Linked DNA regions of Lonchura striata. The protein of the gene in region 2 purifies or fractionates together with the protein of the main gene of each other region. This does not show direct contact. Links are inferred from orthologs where the notes say so. Each region holds a gene or a part of one and is shown on either strand. Other genes may lie near its edges. The genes, in order: NUFIP2 and FAM98A.

What was found.
Region 1: the proteins of FAM98A (region 2) and NUFIP2 purify together in Homo sapiens (co-immunoprecipitation; 3 studies listed by BioGRID and IntAct, with this or other methods). This does not show direct contact. The link is inferred for Lonchura striata from reciprocal best matches to the Homo sapiens genes FAM98A and NUFIP2.

Annotation. Positions count from the first base shown.
Region 1 is NC_134622.1:7,664,885-7,674,994, forward strand, and holds the start of NUFIP2 (FMR1-interacting protein NUFIP2), read right to left. Parts: upstream 4,335-10,110; 5' UTR 4,258-4,334; coding exon 4,074-4,257; intron 1,225-4,073; coding exon 1-1,224. UniProt on the Homo sapiens protein: Binds RNA.
Region 2 is NC_134605.1:35,870,154-35,880,891, reverse strand, and holds the start of FAM98A (protein FAM98A), read left to right. Parts: upstream 1-6,787; 5' UTR 6,788-6,865; intron 6,866-7,058; 5' UTR 7,059-7,084; coding exon 7,085-7,137; intron 7,138-10,033; coding exon 10,034-10,182; intron 10,183-10,738. UniProt on the Homo sapiens protein: Positively stimulates PRMT1-induced protein arginine methylation. Involved in skeletal homeostasis. Positively regulates lysosome peripheral distribution and ruffled border formation in osteoclasts.

The DNA.
Region 1 (10,110 bases), on a different chromosome or scaffold from region 2:
CCAGGTTCTGCTGATTCGTCTGGGAAGGGAAATCGACTTGCGCTGTCCCCAGGAGCACAGTTTGCATATTTGAAGGGTAGATAAAAAGGCCAGATTTCTTTTGTTCGAGGGCTGTCGAAGCTGTACTCATGTCCTGGGGTACTGACTCGGAGGAGGAGGTCGATGGGACAGTACTAGCAGCAGTGGAGAGCAGTGGCTGGGCCCCTGGGGAATACACACTTCCATCGGTCCCCGCGAGGATCGGCCCGTTCGAGAAGCTGGCAGAAGTGACAGATTTCATAGCAGACATGGGGACTTGGGACAGCCGACTTGATGTTTGGGCCTGAGTTTCCCCAGCAGATGATGAAGACGATGAGGATGATGTGGATGACGTGGATGGGGTCTGAGCTGCTTTGTTGAGGTTTTCTTTAACTTTACTTGCATAACTAATTTTGGGAACAATTTTAGCACTGCTATTGTCCACTGGAAAAACTGGGGGTGGTTTAAATAAGGTCCATGAATCCTCTTTAGATGTAGCCGACGATGCATGCTTCCCTTTGGGCCGGTCATCAAACTTCTTGCTGCTAATCCCAGGTTTGGCATCAGAGTTTTTCCTCGGTACATCCCCGAGCCCAGGCTTTCCTCGGCCTGCTCCACCAGCCCCAGCCTCATATTTCCAAACAGGCTTCGTATTTTCAATTCGGTTCCCCTTTTGTTCACTATAATCAGGCTTGAAACTCTCAAGTTCCTGTTTCAAGGCTGGTGCGCTGACCTCCTGCTGCATTATTTTGTCCTGTACTAGATTCAAGTTCTCACAACCCTTGGCACTGTTGCGCCTGCCTTTCCGTTTTTTAGGTGTAGTATATCCACTCTCGGAGCCACTACCATCGTTATCGGCCCCTTTGCCTACGTAGCCATTTGTGATGTAGCTGGAATTATTGGTTACCACGCCGTTTGGAATAGACACTCCCTCTGGCTTGTCCGAGGTCTGGTTTTCTCTGTGTTTGTTTTCATAGGACTTTTCATTCTTTTTGTCCATGCTATTTTTCTGAATGAAGTTCTTGGTTTTGATTCCAGCTTTCCCCAAAGCACTGGCCTTCACAGTCTGCTTTGGGGTGACATTAGAATCTACAAGCTGCTGGCTGCCATTGGGTACCCTGGATCCTGGGGCGGTGGCTTCATCAGAGCACAGGCCCTTTAGTGACACTTCTCGTTCTCCTGCGTTACCATTTAGCTCTCCGTAGCCTAGAGGGAAGCCAAAAACAGCAAAAGGCAAGAATTAGAATGTGAAATGTTAGACTTGTCATTGCAGAAAGCTGTAGTCAGCCCCAAACATATCCAGTTTCCTCACGCAGACATTTTAAAATAGGAAAATATCTAGTCTCTGAGGTAAAGCTGCATAAATTTATTTGCTGGAACCCACAGCAAGAAGGGTTAAAAAAGAAGGACCAGCCATGACTGATTCTCGCATAACTGAGTGACATACAGATAACATAACAAAGCAAAAGAAAATACAGATACTATGCCAGAAAAATATACTGTACTGAAAATCACTGGCAAGCTGGAGAGTTATTTCATCAGCTACTATTTCCAGGTCAGAGAGAGGAAAAAATTAATTCCCAGGATGCTTCAAGACAGCGGGATCCACTGCCTTTCTGACAAGATCTGTGGAGGTTCAGGATACACACTGTGAACAAGGGACAACTCCTACCATCTCCATCACCTCCTGGGCCCACGACACCAGCAGTCCTCCTTCCCACCCTCCTCCCAAATGCCATCTCAGTCAAGGGATGGGAAAAAAAAAACAAGCACAGTATTTGCAAAAGGACCCGTGCAAGTTCAGCTGGAAGATGGAGGAAAGAAAATGTGGCCACATCTCCTCCCTGCATTTTAAGATAGCGACCAGCACCTCCCTACACATGTTCCTTGGCACTGAAAAGTGACAGAAGTAAGAAATGCATCCCTGCAAGTGCCCTTCTGCTGCCACCACCAATGGATCTCTTGGCCACTGAAAAAACTTGTATTTCAGAGTCCCCAGGAGAGCTGGTATGAGCCTGAGACCCAAGAAATATAGCACCTGCTGAGGGCTCCAACTCACAAAGCCATGAGATTGTGCTGCAGACTGAGCTTTACTCTTCCCTTCTGAAGTTCACTTCCAGGCCTCATGGTTCTGGAGAGTGCAATTCAAGCAGAGCTGGAAGCCCAGGACAGTCCACACTGAACCACCCCAACTTCCTCTTTGCTTTCTCCTTTTCAAGCATCTCTGGCCAGAGGCCTGCTGCTTTCGAGGACCCTGGCTAAAACCCCAAGGGAAGCCCTGGAGCCCCAGTGGGACACAGGGAGAGCACACCGTGCCCTGCTCGACAAATACACTCCAGCTGCAGAGGGATTCCTCCTGCACCCGCCGCTCCTCTGACTCATTCCTCCTTCCGAGGCTGGAAAGCCTCACATCCACATCCCCCACAACCACTGACCCACCTAAGGCTCCATCTGCAGCCACGGTGGCACCGAGTCAGCACAGAGAGGGAGTCCCTCAACAACTGGAGCGGGCAAAACTCCAGCTTGGAAGAAGAATGTTTTTGTTGTTTGCTGATGTTGTTGAAATTAACTGCTGTAACTAAAAATCGTTGTTACCCTCACATCCTGGAGCCTCAGATGTCTGGCAGATGTAACAGCTCAAGTTCTGTGCAAGTCGGGAACACAAGAATCCTTGTAGGAATCTTTACAGAAATTCCACAACTGAGTTTGCCGAGGGGGATCAAAAAGGATTTTACTACATGCAAGTATCTGTAACCACCACAACTTCCACTATAACTTTCAAATATGTTGTTAAGAAAATTAACTGCAAATACTTCGCCCCAGAGAGAACTAGAACGGCGGGATCCTCTAAAAAATTAGTATTTCAGAATAGCATGAAGAGGAAGCCCTCTCAAGAACAGTGTTACAGCTGACCTTGTATGACTCAAGACTTCTGACACCACTTGTTAATGAAACAAAACAATAAAGAGTGGTCATAAGACCACTGCAGATGAGGAGTGAAAGAATAAAATGAAGAACAAAATCCATTTCACTAAGTCAGTGTGTCAGCAGTTTCTAGTTCCAATTCTCAAGCATTCACAGCTCAGCTGCCTGAGTTTTCTCCAAATCAACATTTGGCACAGCTGGCCTTGGCCTGGACACGGAGGTGCAGCAACCAAAATTCAGGGGAGAGGAAAAAATCCAGGATGGTAAGAAGAACAGGTGAAGAGGATCTGGCAAGCTCACAAACCGTTTCAGAGCTGGAAAGGGAGGGGTGCCAGCCTAGGCACATATTAAAACCCTGGGCACGCTGCAAACAGTGAAATGACTTCTCAACTTATTTTTGCTCGGTAACTTATTTTGGCGTGTGCCCCATCAGGTCCCTCCCTGCCTGCCCAGGCTGCACATGGGGCACTGCTGACCCCGCTCCGCTGCTACCAGGCCCCCTCCCACCTCCCGCCTCGTTATGTAAAAGAAAAATTCAAGGGAAATAAAAAAAAAAAAAATTGTACGCGGCACTCCGGCCGGCTGGTGGCCACGCACTCGCCTTGACCCCGCACAAACCCCCCCAGAGGGACTGCTGGAGCCGGGGAGCCCGCAGGAACGCGGCGGGGGCTCGGCCCTGCCAGGGACCGGCTCCCCCCGCGCCGCTAACCGGACACCGCCTCTGCGGCGGCCCGGCACGGCCCGGGGGCCGCAGCCCCGGCCCGGCGGGGAGGAGGCGGCCGAGCGCCCGGGCCGGGCAGGGCCGCGCCGCCTCCCGCCGGCGGCGCCGGGCCGGGCCGCGCCGCCGGCTCTGACGGATCGATCCCGGCGCTCCCCCATCGCCCGGCCGCCCCCGCGGCCCCGGGCCCGGCCGGCGGCGGCGGCGCGGCCCGGCCCCACGTGCCGGCGGGCGGCGGTGCCGGCGGGCCCGCGGCTCCGCAGCCCCAACATGGCGGACAGGAAGCGGCCCCAGCGCGGCGGAGAAGCTTCGAGCCGGGCCGGGGGAGGCGGCGGCGGAGGAGGAGGAGGAGAGGGGGCCCCCGCCGCCGCCCCGCGAAGGTCACGGGCCCCGTCCCGCTGCCCGCTCCAACCTGGTCTCCGCTTCGGCGCCTCCGTGTGCTGCGGGCCGCCGTGCTTGTGCTCGTGGCGGAGCGGCGGCTTAGGCTGGGCTCGGCCGTCGGGCGGCGGCAGGTAGGCGCTCTGCGGGTGGTGGTGGTGGTGCCCGTAGTAGTAATAGTGGTGGTGGTGATGGTGGTGGTGGGGCTGCTCCTCCATGGGGGGCGGCTGGCGGGGCCGGGCCGGGCTGGGCGCTCGCTGCTGGGCCGTGCGGCTCCGGCGCGGGGACGCGGCTGGCGCGGGGGAGGCGGCGGACTGGCAGCGCCCGCCCTGCAATCAGCGAGCGGCGCCGCCGCGCCCGCCCCCCGCCCCGCCCCGCCGCACCGCGGCCGGGGGAGAGCCGGCCCGGCCAGCGCGGGCCCGCCCGGCCGCCCCCTCCCCGGGCCGGCGGCAGGTGAGGCTGCCGGGGGCGGGCGCGCTTCGCCCCCTCCCCGTGCTAGCGCGGCGGAGCCAGAGTGAGCGGCCGCGGCGGGGTCGCCGCCGTCCCCGGTCCTCGCCGTTGGAGCGGAGGGGAGCGGCGTGCGGCCCCGGGGGGGTTTCACCGCAGGGTCACCGGCAGGACGGCGGCCCGGGATGCCGCCAAGCCGCGTTTTGCCGTCATGAAGCGGGTGAACCCCCCACCCGGGGCAGGCGGAGAGGGCTGGAACAGCCCCAGCGGAGGGGAGCTGGGCAGGGATGTGAACACCGTGAGCAGCCGGGCTCCCAGCAGCAGCCGCGGGAAGCGCGGAGCCCGGCAGCAGCAGCGCCCCGAATCGCTGCCGGGCCGAGCTGCAGCGCTCCCGCGGCAGCCGGAGCTCACCCGGCTCCAGGGCTCCACCCGCAGCCAAGCGGGCGGACCCGCCGCTCCCCGCACGGACCCACCACCGGCCGTGCCCAGCACCCGGCCAGCCCGAGAAAGGTGGGCTCAACAAATGCGCCTGTCCAGCTCCGAGGGAAGCACCGGAGATTTAACTGATGCTTAACAAAAATCAAAGGTTGATGGGGAAGCCCGAGAGTGTAAGGAGGAGAACTCTTGAAACTTGACAGAATTTGCAACAGATTTCATACCATTTCAATCTCTGATTATCCTCACTTGAGCATGTTCGGCAGGGGGTGATGACAGCTAAATGACCTGAACTCCCACCTCTGCTCCAGCCAGCCTCCACTGCAGGGAGAGCAAGACATTCAAATGCTGTTCCCGGATTCCTCCTCAACACCAAGGCCCAATTCTCCAGATACCACTGAGACAAAGGGGTTTGGGTTGTATGGATCAGTGAGGAACTGAGACAGGAGTTAATTAGGAATGTAGGAAAAGGGCAGAGGGAATGGAGAGACCCACAACTGACACGGGCTGGAGACAGAGGCGGAGTCCTGCTCCAAGTTATTTGCTACTCTGGTGTGATTAATGGCCCCCAAATAGTCCCAATAGTGTGCACTGCAGCAAACAGGGAGGAAAAGTGACAAAATAAAATGTGTTCATGTAATTAAAGACTGTCACAATTAATGTGTGTAATATAAATGGGCTCCACAAATAGTCCTGAAAATAGTATGGACTCGCTTCTCAAGTCTTTTCCTTGCAGCTTAATGCTCTGTTCTATTTTTTCACTATTCTAATGAGCAAAATTAATAAAGTTCATGTGTCTAGAAAAGCCCTGTCAGACTTTGGCACTGTACAAGAGCCCTCGTCTGGAGATTTTACAGTTCCCAAGCCTTATTTTAAGAGAACACAGTTGAAAGTTTATGCCTCAAACAGAACTTCCCACTTCACGCTCCTCTTTACTACATAGGAGGTAAAGCTTTTCCTTACCAGAAATACCAACTTCAACATTAATACAGAGGGTTTTTTCAAGATTTGAGGTGCCTGAAATATCACAAGCTCTCTGCCAAATCATTCCTGCAGTTTACATTTCTTTCAGCACAATGCAAAGCCATTTAAAACTGATGAAACTATTTAAGCAAGCAATGATGAACTTTGGGCTTTACTCAAACAATAACGGTCCTGGTCCTTTCAAACGCTGACTCATTCAGTGACCTCAGAGTGCTTAAGAGACAAGTCTTAAAATGAGGAGTCAGGCTTTAATCACAGATGACATTTTATTGGTGGCTTGGAAGAATTTATTTTTAATATAGGGAGCTGGCTTGAAGATTTAAACTTCAAAAGACTCTGAGGAAAGCAAACAATTATGGACAAATCATCTCCACACACACAGACCAGAAATCTGAATACAGAGGAAGGTGGGCTGTCTCTTTGTGAAAGACAAAGCTACTATGTCACTGCTTAGAAGTATCATGTTATCAGTATTATATTATCTAAAGCTTGCAGAAGAGAGAAAAATAATCCAAAATAATACAGCCTGGGGTTCATCACCTGGCACCCCAACATGGTGTGTCCACACACAGTGGGCCTGCCCCACTTCCACTGATTCCACAAGGATGCATTTTAAAGGTAAGAGCAGTTCCAGCAGGCAGTGTTGCCCTGTGGCCATGCTGGGACACATCCCCTCCAGAAGCAGTAGTTTCTGTTAATCCCAGTGTTTGCCCATTGTTGCACCAGTTGTAATGTGTATTAATATTCAACAGTTCTTCAGGATGTGTTCTCTGGAAAGGGAAGCTGGAGATTTCCGTGTCTGCTCATTTGCAGCAGTTTTCCTTCTTACTGCTCTTTGGCAAGCCAGCAAAGAGGCAATTTTCCTTGGAATTCCACACCCAGTGCCAAGTATTCCCACATCCAGGCACAAAGCTGGGCACAGCCAGTATAATTTCTAACTCAGTAATTTATTCAAAGCTCTGTTTTATGAAGCTTTGAAGTGGATGGCTTTGCAGAGAACCTGCCATTTAAAGCTGGAAAATTAAGGCAGCAAGGAATGAATCAACTGCTACAAGAATCATGAGAAAGTTTTCCTGCAGAGTCTGACCCGGGATAAATTTTGTGTTCATATTAAAATGCAGTTAAACTGAGAAGCTATTGAAGTTATTTTTTCAAGAACAATTTATTTCCTTTCAAAGGCAAACCTCTTTTAAAAACTACATTTAGTTCCCATTAATTATTTTCAGGTAAATTAGAACTGAAATTATAAAATTAATCCATGAAAAAAATAAAATGCTTGCTTTGTAGTATTTCATGTGTCTGTCTCCTGTTTAAAACTCAGAATTGGGAAACACCAAAATTACCATATTTATAGATATTGGGATGGGCTCTTACACAAAGTATGTGTGGCATTTATTTACATTTTTTGCCACAGTGTTTTCATTTATAGCAGGGGTTCAGACTTGCAAAATTCTCCATATTCCAACACATCCAACTTAAAGCACTCCAGCAGACCTTTAGTTCCAAGCAGGATTACAACCACACTGTTTAAAACCTTGCCACGTTTGGCTGCTGGCAAATAATGTGTTTCAGTACAAGGCAGTTGGGATTTACCAGTTGATATTCAAGTGTTGGAATCTCAGAATTAGTTCTCAGAAGCAGTTTAGTCAAGATGGATGACAGGGTAGGAGAGCTGCTCACAGCCTGACCACAGCTATTCTCACAGAGCTGCTGCAGTTACATTCAGGTAAGGAGGAGCTTCTCCTTGACTCCATTTTTGTACTCTGCTGTGTACATTATTTATAGGTACAAAGCTGGTCTCTTTAAAGACTTCTCTCTCTAGAGGCAGCTGGATAGTAGGCATTGGGTTAGAGGTCTTAAAAAGCAGCAAAACCCAAAAAATTATAAAAGGATTTAACCTCCTAGCTGAATTGTAAAAATTGTAAAAAATTCACATTTTACTCATCCTTCCCTTCCTTAGCAATTTAAGCATTTCCACCTCAGCACATGCTGAATTATGATTTTTTTCCTAAAAGCTTAGTTTCCAAATGTCATAAGCACACTATGCTAATCCTTCATTCACTCTCCAGAAAATTAAGGCAATCCAGCACCAAAAATAACCATAGGGTATAGTTTTGTGAGGCAGCAAAACTGACGTAATGGCTGCTCCCAAAAGGGAAGGTCATCTCTCCCTGCCCTGCCCTCACAGCAACGCTGCTGCTTCTCAGAGCCCATTTGAGAAATTAAACTAAAAAGTAATTCTTCAGATGGAAAAGTGCACATTTTTATTCTGGTTAAGCTTCCTAAACTGTTTCACAGAGGAGCCAGACAAATTTTAACACCCTGAAGAATGGGCTGTCACTACAGCAGCTCAGGAGTTGCCTTCCACAGCCAGCCTGGCTGCAGGGATGACCTTCTGGGAATTGGGCAGCGGGGACACAGCTGGGGTTGCAGCCACTTAAGCCATCTAATTTTATTTTGCTCGTATTTGTGAGTCAATCCCCTTGAGTGGCCAAAGAAGGATGGCGTGACCATCCTTCAAAGTGTTTTGAGCAAGCTGTAACAGAATGGCTGTAACCAGTGGGACTTCTGGTGGGTTCATCCATTGTTTAACAAGACTCAATCCAAGGATCATCCCTGTTGTAAAAACACTGAAGTGTTCACACAGGCATGAGTAACATCTGCTGCCCATATCTGCATGCAAAATTGTTTACTAGAGTGCAACAGTATAAACTGGAGACAGCTTCTTGGACACATACAAGAAGCAGAATGGGAAGCAGGCTAGCAGGCTGGCCTCAGCCACAACTCTTATCATTACTTCTCTGGGATTTCAGAGAATCCTGGCTCTCAGACAATTCTGGATCTCCTCCTGCTTCCTAGGATCATCACAGGGACCACAGAGAAATCCAGACAAATACCTACCAAGGTGCTCTTGCACAAACTCCCCTGCTGTTAGAACCTGAGGCACAGGCAGTCCAGCCTGACTTACACAGGGAATTGTATCGGTCACTGCTTGCAGTGGACTTTGACCTCTGGAAGACAAATGAAAAAAAGCTCAATCCACAAATCCCAAGCACTTTTTATCTTGTTATACAACACAACAGTCACAAGGCTGCTAGTCACATTTCATTCTCATTCCATTTGGACACCAAACAGTTATTTTGAAACAGGAAATTAAAAAAAAATAGTTTTTAAATGTGGGTTGGCTATGTCTGCATTTGGTATATGGGGACTCCTCTGCTTGTGTTTGCACCCAGGATCTCCAATTTAACAATGCTCAGCACTGACAGAACACCAGATCTGGAGCAGTTATTGTTTGAGTTATTACTGTGACTGCTGCTTCATTATGTGACACAGGGTAATGATGGTTGACTACAAGATTAGGGATTGGGAAGAGCCCTTGTCTGAAGGAAATTTAAAGACTGGGACCATTCACCTCAGAGGGAGTGAATCAGAAAGAACACAGTGAAGGTATTGCAGAATGCATAGCTTAGAGATAGCAGCTGGAGAACTTTTGTTCACCTTATCTCAAAACATAGGAATGCAGGAACATGAAGGGGGAAAAAAGGTAAATTAAAAGATAAGCAACAACCTTTTAATGTTTTGCATAAAATATATATCAGGATTCACTGATAAGCTACATTGTGAAGAGCAAAGTATTATTAGTTTTCCAATGAATGGGCATAATTCAGCTAAAAGTAAATATTTGACATCTAAAATAGAGATTTTGTTAGGATTACTATTCTTTGGAGCACAAGTGAGCTTATACCTCTTGGGATTTAAGAGGCTATTTCTGCAGATATCCAGGGCCTGGGGAACTCAAATAGAAGCAGGGTGAAGAACTTACTTTTGAAAACCCATCTCCTCTGGAGAACTCATGGTCTGAGTACATATGAGACAGCTGATAGCTCTAGTTGGGGAGGAAAACAGACTGGCTGGCAGGGCAAGCAATGGGCACTGTGCAGCAGATGCCTGTTAAAATCCAGATTCCACAGAGGAGTTCCTGCATGCTCAGCTTACTGGATCTGTGTTCTATTTTACACAATACAGGTATTTTTGTTACTAAGTGAGGACACTGCAGGAGTCAAAGGCTAACCCTTGCCTGTACTTAGCCCTACTTCCTTATCTTGGAATCTGGTCCACAGTGCCACTCTCCTTCTCCCACGCAGCTTCTGTACTTCATTGCTTACCTGCTCATGAGGACTGAATTCCAGGACAAAGGCTGC
Region 2 (10,738 bases):
TGGATTCAGTTTGGCTGGGTGAAAAAAACATCCCATATTTGCATTGCTATAGTCCTTCATCATTCACATTTGATCTATCTGGCATTTGATACAAGATACAGGCACGGACAATTTGCCTCAAACTGCTACAATGTTTACAGAAGAGAGATCATCCAAGATAGTAAGTGCAATTACTTCTCCAGGAATTGAATTTGTGGTTCAGAATACAAGAAAGGCTTACAGGTTGAACATTTATTTCAGGTTTGTAAGATGAAACCTTATGCTTTATATGTTTCGCATCCTAGACTAAGGCATCAAATACACAGCTTTTAGTTATAATTCTTCTTACAAATCCCTTCTCCTAGTGAACTGTCTACATTCACAGTGTGTTCTTTGACAGCTGTTTTCATTTTGTATTATGCTTGTGTTATGACCCATCCTTGAAGGTGAGGTAACTGAGGTTCTTGTTAATAATCCATCCCTTGGGGAGTGGATTAGAGTAAAATGACACTGAATGACCAGTGTTTATAAAAATAAATAAATAAATAAATATGCCAGGTTTATTTCAGAACAATTTGGTTGCAAAGGATAGGAGGTATATAGGTTTGATTATTATCTGTAGAAATATAACAATACAGATGCATAAAAATAACACATAAGAAAATGTATAAAGAAAAGAGAAAGGATAGGTGAAAGGCTTCAAATTAGTTTGAGGGCACTTTGGAGGTCTTTGTGGTTTATGACACCTTCTAAGACATGGCAGCATATTTTATGCCCTGAGGGATGAACACCTTCAGGCCTATGTGTGAATGCCCCATACCTCCCCAGCTATTCCACTTCCAAAGGGTCTTTGTATCAGCCTTCTCCCTTATCTGGCTCAAACCCCAGCTGTAGCCCCCTCTGCACCTGGGCTGTGAGATGCACATCCAGCAAAAGCACCCAAGTGGCTGATTGTTTGAGTCATTGTCCATTAACTGTTCCAGCCTAACAGCTTGACAAATTCCTTCCAGACTAGCTGTTACTGAAGGTTTTTGATGCAGAGGGGAGAGAAACAATTAAAAGGGTCTAAGATTTGGGATTATAACAGTCAAATCCACCAGATGCTCCAGCAAGTGGGATTTTAGGATGAACATATTTTCCTGTAAGAAGTCTTTGCCTCTTTGTCTCTTGTTACTTTGCACAGGAGATAAGAAAATGTTATCTTGAATTTCCAGACTTCTGGAAACCTGTTCTGAGAAGGTGAGTGCAGATTTGTATGACTGGAATGGTATCCTTTGCTCCTCTCTTTGGAGGGCACATTCTTTTTCTTATTATTAATGTGACTAATTGCGGTGGTGTGTTTTTCTTTCATTTAATATTTGTTTAATATCTGTTTCCCCCCCCAACCCCCCAATCTCCTCCTCTCCCCAGTGTCAGTCTTCCCTAGCTCTCCCCTAACCCCCCCCTCATCTCCAAGTGGTCAATCCTCCCTTTCCCTGCCCCTTTCCCTGGAACCTTCCCTGTCATGTTAGTTCTGCCCTAAACTCCTCCCCTGCTATTCCCTTAGTGGTTACTGTTCCTACACCCCTCCTCCTGAGTTCTGTATAAAACCTCTGCTCCCGCCCCCGAGGGGGTCTTGGGGCTCAGTGAATAAAACCATCCTGTTCACCCCCCAAGTCCCGTGTCGCCTTTGTCTGTCCCCGCGCGCCACGAACTGAACTGCAGAGCTTGCAGGGGAAAGCGGCTGCCCGTTCTCTTCCCTCACCGCCCAGCACGGCACGGCTCGGAGTGCCGCGGCGAGGAGCGCATACCGCGCTACAACATATGGTAGCAGAGGATCATGCCGCGCCACAACAACTAATCAGTGAGACTTTCTCTATATTCTTACTGGTTAAACCTGCTGGTCATGGGTATGGCTCTAATTTAAGTTCTTTTGCCACCATCCAAGAAGACTGTATGTGTGGATTCCTTTCTCGATTAAATAGAGTTATTTTAAAAACAAACATTAAACTTTTTGAAATTATACTGATTGCTGAGTGTTTGTTTAAAAATTATTCTCTAAAGAGGATTTTAAAAGTGCAGGCTTCTACAAGATGTTAATAGTGGCACTGGATTCTGAAGCTTCTTGATTCATAGGTTTTTTGTATCACTTGGAAAAGCTGCTTAAAATAGAGGAAAAGGCTTTTTAAAGTTCCTGTCTCTATACTTAATTTGGAATATTGCAGCTATTTTTGAACTCAGCTACCCTGTTAAATTATTCATGCAAACTTCTTTGTCATGTTTTCACAAAAGTTCCTTGTTAACTCTTGTCACAAGTATTTCATCTCAAGGGAAGTGGTGTTGTGTTTCACCAACAAAAGTATCCTGACAGCAGCTGCCAGGCATGTAAAAGAATAAAGACAGTCCATGCTTATTTTTTTTCCCCAAAGATTTATTATAACTGTTGATTATTCTCAAAAATAATGTGTGAGAGATGGCTTTACAGTGTGTAGACTCATCCTGCTTTATATATGACTAAAACCCCACAAACTAGCTTGTTGCAGCTACTCAGGGAAGAACATTTTAGAAATTCTTATTTTTGCCACACAGACTTCACACAGTCAAGTCATACCCATCAGTATAAACCTAAGTATTGAATTGTCATCTGTTGTGTTATAGATCCACTTTCTCCTTCATTGCTGCTGCAGAGGCTGACTGGTAAACTGATTACCATAGCACTGACATCTTTTGGCCAACGGAGGTGTAATGCAGAGGTGGATTCAAACAGCCTGCCTAGAAGGGATTACCAATACTTTAATCATAATTAAAGCATCACAGCAGCAGAGATCCAGCTGCTCCAGAAAATATTCGGGAACATGGTCTGTGAAAAAATTATTTGCTACACAAAGGCTGCATTTTATCCATGTTCTTTAGCAGAAATTACCTCCTGCCTGCAGTAGAAGTGTTGGTTGGAGTTGATAAACCTGGTAGCACAACAGAAGTGAAGCTGCCTGCATCTTTGTCTCGCCAGGTCTAGGCAGCATGAAGGCTGTGTGTGTACTCCCAGTAAGCACACAAACACGCTGATGTGTGTGCACATGGCCAGCCACACAGACAAACACATATAAAACTAGAAAACAGCACTTCTGCAAATGGAAACAGGACCAATGCCATAATCCTCTTCCCCTCTCTGGAATGAAGGTGTGCAGTGGAACATACAGAGAAGACATACAGCATGGGCCTTTTAGTAACAGGACAGATGCTCGTTTATCCAGTAGTCAGCCCTGGATCCTTGTTCCATCCAGCTGCAGATACCTGATCATGGCAAGACCTCAAGGCTCACTGCCCCAGTTAGTTTGCTGGCACCCACAGACTGCACATCCACTCAATATCCAGCCTTGGGCAGTTCCCCTGTTAGCTGGCCCTGGTACCCTCTGGTCTTTGATCCTCTCAGGCAGATCCTCTGGTCAGATCCTCTGATCCTCTCATGGCACAGCAGTAAGGACTGAAGAAAGTCCAGAGAGCTGAAAGTAGTCAAAAGCTGGGTGAGTAGTAGGGGAAGTGCCATTTGTCATTGTCCTGCTCTTGATCTTTCATGGTATCCAGCATGCTCTGAGCCAGAACTGACATTCCTTGATACCTGGCAAATCCAGCTGTATGTCTGACAGACAGTGGGCTTTTAGCTTCAGCACAGTGGCTGGATTCTGTTGCATCCAGACACTGAAGAAACTGCAGCATCCTGCAGAAATCAGTAAAAAAATCGGTTTTGATACAAAAGTGCTTAGCAGCACTTTACCACTCTGCATCTGGTAACACTCATGTGTGTTTCATGCTATTCTGTAAGTACAGATTTCATATTTAATGTCTCTGTCATGGGATTTTTGACAGCCACAGAGCCAACCTGAGGTGGGGTGGTGTAAACCCTGTGAAAATAAATTGTCTGTAATGAAATAAACCCTGCCTTAAAGTTGTTGGTTTTGGCTAGCTTTCCTGTGGAAGTGAGGTTTGAACCATCAGGGTGTGTCTTCAGTGACCTGGGCAAATTCAACAAGCCTCCTCTACACTGGTGACAGGTTCTTTTGGTGCAAAGCTGAAGGAGGGGCTACAGCCTTACTTTATTACTTGTGAGAGAATATGCACAGGAGGAAGTAGTTTATCTTCAGTCAGAGCTCACAGCATCTCAAACATCAAAACAAATCAATCACAAAAGGCAAGTACACAGGAAACCAATTGTCTTTGTTTAATGACAACTGGCATCCAAGCAGTGGAGCACCTCATACCTCTCAGAATAAATATATTTGGGTTGCAGAGCTTCAGGGCATGCATGAACTGCCTTTTCCTTAACCTGTATGTAGCAGCCTGGAAGCACCTGACCAATATCCACCACATCATCCCCATCCCTCCAGGGCTAAAGGGGCCAGGAGGGGTTTAGAGGGGTTCCATGAAGAGGACAGCTGCAGTCTGGGCTGGTTTTCTTCTTCCCATAGGAGAAATCAGTACTACATGGCTTTTCCAGTGGTGACATAGTGCAGGGAGCCATGGATGGCTCCAGCCAGGGCATTGCGGTCAAGCTGCCTGAGGGACATTGGATTCCCAGTCCTGCAGCTCTCTGTGAGTCAGGGTGGGGAGGGAAGTAGATGTAACAAGCCTACCCCAGGGAGAGAACAAACCCAAGGAGAGTTGAGCTCAGTTCTGCAGGTTGACAAGTTTGCAGAGCCTTGTGTAGCTTAGGGAAATCTACCCCAGTTACAGCTCTTCCCTGAGCCAATAGCCAGAGTGGCTGCTGCTTTCAGAAGTAACCTGTCTGCAGAGCTCTGGATCTCATTGTGCAACAGCAAACTTCTCAGGACAATATTATTTTGTTCAAGAAGTACTCAAAAACTGTCCAATTGCAAAATTAATTTCTTCTAGGGGGTCAGGATGCTGCACAGTGGCCATTCACACCTCCCATGCCTCCAAAATTTGTGTGGTGAAAACCCTAGGCTGGTAGGAAAAGAAAAAGTCATGACTGATAAGAGACAATGACAAAACAAAACTCTCATCCCCGTCCCCAGGAGAAAATTGTAGCTGCCTGCTCCAAGCTAGCATCACACCTCCAACTGTTCTTCTCCCCAGCCACAAGATCCTTCTGTTTTTCAAGAAACTGCTGGTCCTCACAGCACAGAAGGGATGTTAAAGCAGTCATGGAACTGAGTGATACAGACTGGAGGAGATGCCTACCAGACTGTCCCTACCCTGCAGTGTTGGCACAACTGAACCTGAGAGAAATACTTTTATTTGTTTCAGAAGGCAGATGTCATCAGCTGGGTGCCAAGATGAATATGACCCTTCTGTGCCAATGCTCATCTGAGCAGTAAATGTAAGATGACAGTAAATGTCCTCCTGAAATTAGCACAAAATCCTCGTATCTCAACATGTGCAGATTCAGGAGTGGACACAGGAACAGTGTCAATGTGACAAAATTAATTACTTCATGTACTGCTTGCTCCTATGAATGCTTTTAAACCCTATATTTAGGGCAAGAAAAAAGAAGGTTCAGAAATAAGGGGTAAACATTATCATGACAACAAGCAGCAGAGCAGAGTCCACACTCTGTGGACATACTACCCAGCTTTGTACACTTCCACCTGTGCAAGCAAGGTGAATCCAACCATTACATAAAAATAAAAAAAAAACAAAAGCAAAACAACAAAACAAAAACCAAACAGAACCCGCCAAGTCGACCAAACAAGCAAAAGGTCATAGCTTTCAGGAGCAGTGTTGAATTAGTGAGGAAAATCCTAATTGCCCAGATCTCCAGTTTAGGCTACCCACCCTGCCAAGGCTCCCAAGCACAACACCTGAGATACTTTGGATCAAAAATGAATGGACAAAGGGAAAATCAGTTAATTCTCAGAGCTCAGCAGTGATAAGGCAGCTTGCCAGAAGCCTTTATCTCTTTTATTTTTAAAAAATCAGAGTGGGCTGCGGCCACACTATACTAACCACTATACAACTAAAAGCAAATACACAAAGCAGAATGCCTGTATTATTCATCTGACATTAAGATTTTAGTCTTTAGGAGGCAATTTTCCTACAAATGTGTAAATTGACATGTCTTTAGTAATATAACTGGTGACTACAATGCCTATTCTTTATCTTCCTACCTATCTTGAGGCTACAAGATCCTTCATATTTTGACTGCAGCTTTTCTTCACCGTGCCTGCCAAGGGCAGTTTCATGAAGAACAGGAGTCGGTCCTGCAGCACCAGCTCGCTACTGGTGACAGACTGGCATAATTTTTGGCACGAATGGTTTTGGCTTTTCCCAGCGTGGTGTAGCCATCCCAACATAACCTCTCACCGTGCCTCCCTTCCAGCACTGACGTGCTTTCTGTGGGATTGCTGCGTGCCCGGCATCGATTTATTAATTTTATGAATTTTATTAATTTTATTCGGCGCCAGCCGCCTCCCGCCCTGTCGTGCGCAAGGCATGCCGGGATTTGTGGTCCCGGCCGTAGCTCGGGGTCCTGAAAGGGGGGGACGGACTCTCGTTCCCTGGCACGATTTGACCCTTCTGCCGCCCCGTCCTATCCCCCTGCCCCCGCCCGTTGCCGCGACGCCGCTCGCCGCAGCACATTCCTGCGCGGGCTGCGCTTCCGGGTCTGCCCTACCGGCGCCTGAACACAAAAGTGAGATCCTCGGCTCGTCCCGGGCTCCTTTCCCGCAAGAACGGCCTGTTATCCGGCCTCGCATCCGCGTCCCAGTTTAGCAATGGTGTTCCGCTCGGCGGATAGGCGGACACCGCCGCGGACGGGGGCGGCGCCGATCAGGCAGCGGGGCTGGCGGCCCTAGAGCAGCCGGATGAAGAGGGAGGCCGGGGGCCTTCGGCGCGGCTCTCCCCGCCCTGAGATGCCAGCCCGGCAGTTGGCGGCGCAGCTGCGAGCGTGGTGCGTGCGGCCGGGCGGGACAGCGGGCTGGGGCGGCCCGGGACAGGGGCCGTGGCGCCGGGAGCTCTCCCTCGCCGCGGGGCAGGGGGTGAGACTTGAGTCTCCACCACGAGGCCGGGATGGGCTGGAGAAGGGGGAACGGCGGGCGGTGGGAGTGCGAGAACTGGTAGCGCTGAGTCCCGCTGTCGCGCAGGTCCAGCTGTCGTGCCCCGCCGCAGGATGGAGTTCGAGTTCCTGGAGAACGATGTGCTGGAGTCGCTGGAGGACCTAGGGTACGTGTCCGAGGCTGGGGGCGCGGGGCGGCCCCGGCAGGGACACGGCGACGCTTTCCGCCCCGCACGGGCGGGGCCGCTGCCGCTCCGGAGGGCCGCGGCTCGGGGCAGTGCATGGAATGGTCCTTTTGGTCACAGCCGGCCTCAGGGCCGGGCTGCTGCTGATGCCCCAAGCCAGACGCGCAGGCTTGTAGCTGCATGGCCTTGGCGAGTCTCTCGCTTCTCCGTGCGAGCTGATCCCCTCGATTCTTGGATGCCATCTGGTCTGTTGCTGCTCTGTTCTGCACAGCGGCCCTAGCTGAGGGTGGGGTGGGATAAAGAGATACGTTAGACAATAAAAAAGCCTTCAGGCTTAGTATTTTTTGGCGGGGAGGGCGGAGAAAGAGTAAAAAGCATTGCAAATAAGCAAGTGTTTTTCTTCTTAACATATTTTAAAGGGTACTATAGTACAGGAAACTTCTGCTGTGTAAACCTGTTACTTTGTCAGAGTCAGGAAAGGCTGCATAAAAAAAGAAAAGCATGAAAGGAAGAGCGTGGAGAACATGTCCTGCTGTAAGCTCCCAAGTCTGTAACCTGCTAAGAGTTCAGAAGACAGGCAGCTACAATTTCACTCTACTGCCGGTTCCATGCAAACAGCTGTATTTACTCACATTGGCCCCATTCCCATAAATCACTTTGTGACTAGAGTCATTATGCTCCAACAAAGATTGTATTTTCAGGTTACATTAGTGGTGATAGTTGCAATGCTTGACAAATAGATTTCTGTTTTAGCAGGTATTTCTCTGACTGAAATGTGAAAAGGCATCTCTTTCACAATGAAAATACTGTGATTGGCTTATTTTTTTGTGTTTAAAAGGACACTAGTGGCTTGAAGGTGATTTGTGCTTCTGATCTGTGCAGTTATAGACAGAAAGTGTTGTTGATTTTTGACGTAAATGCGTAAAGCGAACAGTGAAAGTAGATGAACAAATAAATTATATGAAGCAAAATTGACAACAGTAAAAAAAAGAAAATTTTGAGCATGAAAGACATAAGACCCCAGCAATATTGGGAACAACTGGGAAAACTATTGCACGTGTCTAAAGGACTTCTGATTTTTGGTGTCTGGAAAGACGGGTGTTTGAGGCTTTATGTTTTGGCAGTAGCTCCATGGTCTTCATGGTTCATCTTATTTTTTCTCATCAGATACTGAAGATATTCCTAATATATCACTTGATTTTTTTTTCTTATATCAGTACATGTTAGAGAGCTGTTTCTTTTTCTAGTTGTGCTCGAGGTGTTCAGATGGTGGCCTCTTGTCTTGTACATCAGCTTGTTGAACTGTTGAAAGAGCAAACAGATGGGATAGCACGAAGTTACCAAAAGAGAGCATAGCTCTGGAACACATGTCATTGGCAGCAACAGAAGGAAAAAGCTGCTTGCAATTAGGAATCTGCAAGTTGGATTATTGGCCAGATTGATGTGTAGCTGAAGTCATAATTATAAGAAATTACACACTCAAGACATTACCTCTGTTAAAAAAACTTTCTAGAAAAGGTGCCTCTAGAAGATCTGAGCAGGGACTTAAATCCCAATCCTGCCAAAGCAAAAGGCTTTCCATTGCTTCCTTGCTACTTTGACCTGTAACTGGCTGCTTCTATTTTGAGTCCCAGATGTTCCTAGACCTACACATGTAGAGATGGGATGGGACTGAAACTTGCTCTGATTAGCTTCTTGAAGTGTCCAGCCTGCTGTGGTCATGCAGTAGGGTTGTAATACATGAGATTACAGCTTCTGTCCAGCTGCCAGTAGATTAACTGTGTCACCAATCAAGCTGCTCTGTGAGGTAAAAGTTATTTTTGAGCGTGGCTTCTTTATTTTACTTGGCTGAAGTAACAGGCCACTACAGTGAAGGCCAAATCCTTTGTATGTCGTATTAAGCACAGGAGCAGAGTGAGGAGAATTTCATTTCAATTTGAGATGTTCTTTTATTGCCGAGGTTTGCCAAGAGTTGCCTGGACTTGTTGGATTGTTGTGAGGTAGTGGATGACTTTACCCAGAAGTTCCCAAGAGAGATTTCGTTTAGTTATGAGCACTCTTGGATGTCTTTGTCTTTTGGGGGCAGTATATCAAAATTATATTGTACGTGTTTTTTCTAAAATACTGAAGTAAACTCTGACTTGTGCTTCTACCTGGTTAATAAGGCAGCCTTGTCTCTACTCTTCATTCTCCCCCTGAGAGATGGTCAGTACACAGATGTTCTGAAAACTCAGTTTTCTAAGATCTGATCTGTAAACACATGCTTTCTTTCGGTAGGTCTGATTTTTGGCTTATTTTGCTTATGCAAAGAACCAATTCCATTAATTTTTCTTGTGTATATTTAGGGAGGTTGGTTTTTCAAGAGATGATATTGTTATGCAGATCACTTTTGTAATATTTCTATCAAAGGCTTTGTTTTGTAAGGCAGCCCTTTCATATGTGATAGGAAATGACAGTAAAGATGCACTTGTTCAGCAGTAATTATTTAACATACTGTAAAGCAGTATGTAGAGCTCAGGAAGGATTCTTTGAGACTGCAGTTGCCCTGGATAGGTCTGTTGTCTGTAACATGTTCAGGAGGTGGCAGCAGTGAAGTTGCCACTATACATGGTAATATTGTGGAGGAAACTTTTGACAATGCAATTTTGTGACAGTTTTTGTGATGGTAAGTTAATGTGCACACAAATTCTGAGTTTACTCTGATGTTTTCCATGTGGTTCTTGATACAGTTCAGTCCAGGAATCACCATTCCATGACATCAGCACTTCAGATGTCTTGTGATTGTATTTCTAAATATGTATACAGCATAAAATAAATCTGTCAAAGGACATTGGTCACAGCAAACATTAATAAACCGTGCTTTTGTTTTATTTCTCAGTTACAAAGGTCCACTGTTAGTTGACGGAGCACTGGCTCAGGCAGTCTCCCATGGAGCCAGTTCCCCTGAATTCACCAAACTCTGCGCTTGGTTGGTATCGGAGTTACGGCTCTTCTGTAAACTAGAGGAGAATGTGCAAGCAACCAACAGTAAGTAGTCATAACTCCAGCACAAACATGCACTTAATTTGTGTTCTTGCATGCCACAGAGATTAGGGCTGGCCTGTGTATTGTACCATGGAGTGTTGTCTTCACGCTGCCAGATTTTGGGTATTTTCCACCTCAAATTTGCTGAATGAACAGCCAGTAGAAGTTGAAATTATAGTGGTGATCAGTCTTCTGAAATTAGATTTTTCTGTTAATTTTTCAAGCATATTATTTTTTTAAAGTTCTTAGATGGATTTAGGGAAACATTAATACTAGTGGGGTTTTTACTAGATCATAAAATATTTTTGTTTCAATGCTTCTGTTTTTGGTAGAGGAAGCAAACTGTAGCTTTCAGGAAAAAAAGTTAATTTTGGTCAACTAGTCATGACAATCTACAGATTAAATTATCAAATTGGTGTAATAACCCATATTCCTGAGTATCTAATATATTAACTCATAATGCTTTCGTGAGCTAAGCTTTGTATTTACTCAGTGGCCAAAGGTTGCTGCCTTTTAGCTCAGCATCTGTTACTTTCCTTTCTCTCTGTTTTTGACATAT